Caenorhabditis elegans: one gene and its partner. The protein of the gene in region 1 interacts with the protein of each later gene in a pairwise test. Each region holds a gene or a part of one and is shown on either strand. Other genes may lie near its edges.

Evidence for each region.
Region 2: the proteins of eif-2Balpha (region 1) and pbs-6 interact in a two-hybrid assay, tested with the Caenorhabditis elegans proteins (2 studies listed by BioGRID).

Annotation. Positions count from the first base shown.
Region 1 is NC_003281.10:9,541,503-9,545,178, forward strand, and holds eif-2Balpha (Translation initiation factor eIF2B subunit alpha), read left to right. Parts: upstream 1-1,616; 5' UTR 1,617-1,639; coding exon 1,640-1,754; intron 1,755-1,806; coding exon 1,807-2,072; intron 2,073-2,135; coding exon 2,136-2,317; intron 2,318-2,376; coding exon 2,377-2,578; intron 2,579-2,626; coding exon 2,627-2,779; 3' UTR 2,780-2,902; downstream 2,903-3,676. Other genes in the region: Exonuclease mut-7, read right to left, coding at 1-592, 664-853; ZK1098.9 (uncharacterized protein), read left to right, coding at 2,949-3,090, 3,455-3,576.
Region 2 is NC_003281.10:8,242,432-8,246,098, forward strand, and holds pbs-6 (Proteasome subunit beta type-1), read right to left. Parts: upstream 1,662-3,667; coding exon 1,396-1,661; intron 1,351-1,395; coding exon 957-1,350; intron 909-956; coding exon 792-908; 3' UTR 691-791; downstream 1-690. Other genes in the region: Putative zinc finger protein C02F5.12, read right to left, coding at 355-438; cids-1 (CID domain-containing protein 1), read left to right, coding at 2,014-2,151, 2,195-2,328, 2,371-2,554, 2,602-2,846, 2,899-3,046, 3,095-3,193; putative GTP-binding protein C02F5.3, read left to right, coding at 3,460-3,667. UniProt on the Caenorhabditis elegans protein: Non-catalytic component of the proteasome, a multicatalytic proteinase complex which is characterized by its ability to cleave peptides with Arg, Phe, Tyr, Leu, and Glu adjacent to the leaving group at neutral or slightly basic pH.

The DNA of each region.
Region 1 (3,676 bases):
TTGTTGATAATCGTCGAAATGAGTTTGTCCAACGTTTTTCCCGTCAATTTCTCCATAGGAATCGTCATAATTTTGGTTTCCTTGTAGGGTTTCAGCATCTCTTCAACGGCAACCACTGAGATTCCAACCATTCGATCAAAAAACTCTACAAGCTGCTGTTGCATCCTCTCATTGTTACTTATCAATTTATAAGCCGTTTGATCTTTGCCAGATAGCATTAATGGAAGAACAAGATGTTCGAAATGATGATCCCGTAGAAGATTGTACTGAATAGCCATATCTGCAGCAACGGAGAAGTCTTGTTTCTTGATGGCAGCATCTAGCAACTGTGTAATGTCCTCAGTGAATTTCTCTTTGGTGATATCGAAGATTTCACTGAGAAGCTGCTTTTGTCCAATTGTGCACACATCTAAGGCGTTTATTTGAATAGTTCCAGTCAGATATTTCTGTCTGAGCTCCGTCTCCTGTCCCGACTCTTTTAACCAAACTCCAAAATCCTCCAGATACCAAACCGCCAAACTTTGTCCCGATGTTTTTCCTCTATCCGGCATCGCTTTCATCATATCCACAGCCATTCCGTAGATGTTGACTCCTTTAAATGTATAGATTATGAATGAGGGTTTTTTAAAGTTTTTAATAATAAAAGAACTTTAAAATGTTTACCTGATCTATAGTCCTCGTTGAAAAATTCTCGATTTTTGGCTCGAACTTTTCTCTCCCGCTCAGACTCGGGTCCATTCATAATTGCTTTCAGAACTTCCCGGCGTGACTTCAACGGTTCGGCGTAGTCTGTTCGATATTTTGCCTTTTTCTCGGCTTTCGTTAGCTTTCTTTTGTACGGTTCTTCTTCCATTTTCGAAACGGACAAGCTTGATTCTGTAAAAAGTATAAATAAATATTTGTCGAAAAGTTAGTACAAAAGAAATTAATCAAAGAACAAGGAAAACGTGTTTCCCCACGAGAATTCGTATTACGGAGAGGAAAATCTAGAAACGGCCCAAAAACCGAAAGAACAACAGAAAAGCGTTGTGGATTATTCGATATCCAGCACTTTTTGCACAAATTGAGGCAAAAATAATGGAAAAAGAACCAAGAAATCAATGAACAAAATGGAAAATGAATTTTTAAAAAATTGTCGATGGTATTTAAGATGTGCAGGTTAGCGAATAGTACTGTATCACGGCGGCGATTCAAATGATCTACGAAGCAATTACACGAGGAAAATTAATGGAGATTATGGAGCAAATTGAGGGAATTAATTATAGTATAAAAGTTTCGAAAAGGAAAATTATTATTTATTATCCTATTTAGTTCGCCACACAATGGGAGATTTTAGATGCGTAAATAGTTGAGAGTAGAAAGTAAACTGACTGACTCAAAAAATATGTTTAAAATGTTTATTCGAGATTGAGAAAATAAATTAAATTTCACGAAACCTTTTAAATACATAAGTAAAAAAATGTTTTGTTTTTAAATTTGCCACTATCAAAACTGTCTAACTCTCTAACTCTTATCTTCTCTGCGTAACGATAGAGCGCGTTTACATCATTATTTTTTCATTAAATTTTTTCTATAAATATTTCTTCTTTCTACGACAAACGTTCTCCATTATTGTTTTTGCAGACTTTTTCCATCTAACATGGTTCAAGAAAGCATTATTTCATCTTTCCGTGGAAAACTTGAAAACGATCCAAGCAAATCAACGAGTCTAGCCACAGTGGAAACACTGCTCGAGGTTTTAGACCGGAGTCGCGGTAAGTTCCTGAATTTGAATATTTAGGCAATTAATTTTTTGCTTAATTACAGCCACCACCGTTGCCGAATTTCAAAATGAGCTAAATCAAGTAGTTGCTGCTCTCGAGAAAACGGACTACAGCTCAACATCAATTCGAAGTGCCGCTGATTTGTTCACCAGATTCACTTCTCTGGCTCCAGCTGCTCTTCTCGATCAAGAAGATTTTTCTCAAGTTCTTGATCTGTATCGCCAACGAGCACGCTCATTTATAAAGAATGTCAGAGGTTCTCGAGCCAAAATTTCCAAGTGCGCTCGTCTATTTTTCACTCATCATATGGTACGTTTTTTTTTCTATTTAAATAATTCCTATTTAATGTATTTTAATCTTTGTATTTTCTAGAATATTCTGACACACTCATACAGCAAAGTGGTTCTGGAAACTATTCTTGATGCTCACAAAAGTGGATATCACCTTCATGTCTGGGTCACCGAATCGCAACCGGATGCTTCAGGAAAACTAGTGTTTGAAGAATTGAAAAAGAATGGAGTTCCAACTACTTTAGTTCTAGATAGCTGTGTGGGGTGAGTGGAAATTATAAAAAACAATAAGAAAAACGTATATACATTTTTTATTTTTTAAGATATGTCATGGAAAGAATTCAAGCAGTTCTAGTTGGCGCTGAAGGAGTCATGGAAACCGGTGGAATCATCAATAAAATTGGAACTGTTAATGTTTGTATCATCGCAAAATCACGGCATGTTCCCGTCTATGTTTGCGCTGAAACTATCAAGTTTGTACGGGAGTTCCCACTCAACCAGGCCGATATTCCCCAAGAATTCAAAGTAATCAATTTATATCAAATAACTCAATCAGATCTTTCATTATTTCAGTATCGAACATCAGTAATTGAGAGAAACAACCTAGAATTGGAGCATCCCGATGTGGATTACACCGCACCCGAATTTCTGACACTGATCATTACTGATGTCGGCGCAATGAAGCCTGAAGCTGTTGGAGAAGAACTCATTAAAATGTATATCTGAGGGTAGAAATTTATTTGAACGTGTATTTAATTCAATCAAATTAAATTAATTTGTTCTTGTTTTGTTTTTTATAATTATGATTGGTTTTTTTCTTTTACAAAAATAAAAAATAACGTGGAACCCAAAACTATTCATTTCGAGTTTTTAAAAACGCTCATTCATCAAAAAGATGAGTGAAAAGCACTTTATTTTGCCATCTAGCATGCTAATGATAGTTTCGGCTGTCTTCGGAGGTATCGGAATCATCACTACAATCGTGTTCGTGATTCTGACAGTTCTTCATTCAAAAAGTGCGGTTTGTAAACCTGCAGGTTAGTTTTTGTTGCGAAATTGTGCAATTTTTACCCAGAAAGTACGGTTCCCGGTCTCGACGCTACAATTGTTAAATTCTGAAAGGTGTGTGCCTTTAAAGTGTACTGTACTTCGAATTTTTAGACTTTTATTAGTTTTTCGATATTTAAATATTTATTTATTTATCTGAAACTATGAAAAATCGATGCAAATTCCATAACAACGAAAATCTGAAATTACAGTACTCTTTAAAGGCGCACACCTCTTTGGATCTATCAAAAACTTTGCCGTATCGAGACCGGGTATCGTATTAGCATGACGAAAATCGCAAAATTATCTGGATAATATAGTAATGCTGAAGAATAAAAATTTGCACATTTTCAGGCAAAGAAGACATGAAAAAACTGAACGGTATCGAAGGAATGCAAACGATCAAAGAAGAATGTGGAGGATCAACTGAAACATCCTCGTCGAAACCGAAGAAAAAAGCCAAGAAAGAAGTCTGATTTTTTTTTTTTGAATAAATTTTAAATTTCTTCGTGAAGACCTTTTCTACGTTCTTTTAATTTATAAAATAGACAACACTTTTAACTTGATTTCCTACTC
Region 2 (3,667 bases), 1.3 Mb from region 1:
AAACAATTTGAAATTTTAACGTGTTTTCGCTTTTCTAGGCAATTGTAGTGCCTTGGTGCTTTGATTAGTTCAGTTTGTGGAACATCAAAGTGAGTAAGTAGTTTGAGCCACTGGGGATTTTGTAAACACATTAGCTTAAAAGTACTATTCCTAATTTAGAGTTGTTTCCTACAGTAATATCATTCCAAAATTACAATTTTATAAAATACAGTATTTATGATTTTTGATCGACCATTACATAAAGAATAACCTGTCATATTATTTTTATTGCCAAAATAATTATTACTCAAGTTTTTCTAATCTCGGGAATATTTATATAATTAGAAGCTAAATGTTGCCAAAAGCTTGACCTACCAAAATAGATTGCAAATCGAGTCCTCGCATTTTGAGAACTTCCAAAGTTTGATTGTAGATGTTAACTTGAATATAAGTTGACATTTTTCAGTAAATACCAACTTGTCGAGTTGCAAAGCAGGAATGAATCAATGACACAGCTGGGCAGACCACAAAGTAAGAGACTCGAAACGCAGACGGTTCTAAGCAGCGCCGACTCACTCCTTCTTTTGCATTATATCTTGTGTCTCACTCGTGCGTTCTTGCCCTGTGTGTTTTCGCTCTCTGCATTTTTCTCTCTATTTTGTAGTTTGCGTTGGACGCCGAAATGTAGTCATGTTGTAGACTACAACATATAAGTGGAGGAATATTTATCAGATTACCGGGATGGTAAAACAATTTCAGAGGGGAAGAGGATACGAATAAGTTAAAATAAAATGAGATAGATACTGCAATAATTAATCCTCACGAAGTGGCAGGAACTTTACGACGACTGGCTTTCCGGCTTCAGCGATGACCAAGTGAATTTTGTCTCCAGTAGAGATTTCACGCTCAGCAGCACCACGGAACGAATCCTAGAAAAAATAAATGAATTAGGTTAAAATTACGAAATTCAATTATACCTTCATCAATGAGATGGCTCTGTCCAATGTGAGTTCCGGACGCTCATATCCTTCAGAGAGCGTAACGTGCCCGATTTGACAATCCAAGAATGGAATGATCATTGGTTCAGCGGCTCCACTGGCTGAGTATCCAAGACGCTCGATACATCCGATTGGGTCGTAACTGAACACGGCCCCTTTTCCGTGCTCGTCAATTCCGGCAAGAATAGCTCCAGTGTAGTATGGGAAGAACCGACGGTAATAGAGGTTGCGGGAGAGAAGTTCTGCGCAAAGATCCACAGACATGTCAGAGCGATAATCGAAGCGGTACTTGTGGAGACGAGATTGGAGAACTTTCTTCAATTGGAGGACATCTCCATAGAATCCAGAGGTGGTGAGGATGATGTTATCATTCCTGAATTAAGAATTATTATTAAAACAAAGACAAATACTGGCTTACAAAATTTGAATCTTCTCTGCGTCACGTGTAAGAATGTTGATGTCGTTTTGGGTCATTCTAGTATCACTTGCCACGATGGCAAAGTTCTCCCCAGAAATGGCACAGGTTGATCCTCCCTCCATTGAATACGGGTTCCAGCGTTGACGCTCAATTTGTCTGGAACTCATCCACTCTGGATGAGCTGCAACTTCCTTCATTGCCTGCTTGAACATTGCCATTTCATTGGTGGCGTTGGCGACAGCCGTGATTCCAGTGAAGCTTGTCATCTGAAAAAGGCGTATACTTATTTAGTTGAAACAATATAAATATTCAATATGACAAAATTCAATTAATACAGAAAACAAATGCTCGAAATTTGAGAATTCAACATAACAGGAAATGCTGACAATGAGAGACATCGTCATTTACAATGTTTAGTCCGCAGTTTTCTGCGCGTTCAAATGCACATCGCACATCGAACTATACGACACTTTGCTGAAATTTATTGAAACGCGTTTTCCTCTCTTTTTTGAATGAAAATTCATTTTTCCAAGGTATTTTTGAGGACAATTCATCGCTTTATCTACATTTCTGATTAAAATTTTTGTGATTTCTTTTTTTCAATAATTGATATTTCAGATGGCAGATTTCACAGAGCAAACTTTGCGACAGAAGTTAACAAATTTATCAAACCACCCTTCCTCAATTCAGACGACTTCTGCCTGGCTTTTGCAAAATCATAGCAATCGGGAATTGATCATTCGAGTTTGGCTAAAGGTATTTTATTCATATTGTATCATTTTTTAGTGTTGTATTTCAGACAGTAAAGAAAGAAACACACGGCTCAAAAATTGTAAATCTTCTTTATGTGGCGAATGATGTAAGCCAAAATGCGAGAAAGACTTGCCCACAATTCAAGGACGAATTTTTTCCCGCAATAGAAAGTTCTTTCAGGTATTGGCATTTTCAAACGTCTAATCTCAAAATTAATTTCAGGCATGCAATCGAGTTGAAAAATGCAAAAGAAGTGGAACATGCAATTGGTAAACTGATCAATGTATGGAAAGATCGTCAGATATTCACTCCATCACAATGCAAACGGCTTCATGAAGTTCATCAACAAGTTAAGCTATCTGGAAGCTTCCCAACACCCGCAGTTGCGAACAAGGAACATGGAAAGGTGTGTGAATTTAATAAATTCCAAAAGAATGCCAAAATGAGCTTAAGGTCGCTCAACCTAGTCAGTTCGTCGTTGAAGAAGCGAAAAAGAATGCACAAGATGTTTTGCTCAGTTTGAAGCGCCTTCAAAACCCGCCGAGCACGGAAAGAGAAATTCGCACAGAACTTTCAAAATATCCGGATAATATTTCGTGCCCAGAAAAGTTGCAGTCAGTTCGAAGTTCGCAAGAAGCACAGTCTCTGTTGGTCCAAAATGAAGAAGCTCTTCCGATGCTGGAGGAATATGTTAAAAGGTTTGATTGAAACTTTTGTGAATTGATTTTGTACATTAACTTATGCTTTCAGGCTGAAAAACGAGACAAATGAACGCGAAACTCTCGAATCGAACTTGAATATGCTTATAGAAAATGTTAGAATGAGCATTGAACATCACGAGAAATTGTGCAGAGAAGTTAAGCGTAGAGAAGATCGAATCAAGGCAGATTTGTTAGAGGTTTGAAAACTAGAAAATCAGTTTTTGCAGACTTGAATTGAATTTCAGGTTGAAAAAACATTCGAATCGTTGCCAGATTTGGCTGCTGAGATGCCAAATGCACCATTGCCAACACTTGAAGCTTTGTTCGAGAAGAGGAAAAAATAAGTATCATACTACGTCATAATTATAACTTTACGATCTCAGTAGCTTTTACTGTACCCCCATTGTTGTATAATTTTTGTTCACTTTGATCTTTTACAATCGTGATCACCATTACCACATAAGTGCTTTATACGTTTTTCTTCTGAACCACCTTAAATGAATTTATTTTTTCTAAAATTCAAGTTAGTTCTATTATCTGAAAACGGTTCTTAACCAGTGTTTATCTCTGAAAGTTTGAAATTAATTGTTTAAAAGCTGATATTTTACAGATGGGTATTCTGGAGAAAATTGCAGAAATCGAACATGAAATTTCAAGAACCCAAAAGAATAAAGCCACTGAATACCATTTGGGTCTTCTAAAAGCAAAGTTGGCAAAATATCGTCAACAATTGTTAGAACCAACAGGCAAAGGAGGTGCCAAAGGAGAAGGATTCGATGTAATGAAAAGTGGAGATGCGAGAGTTGCAATGGTTGGAT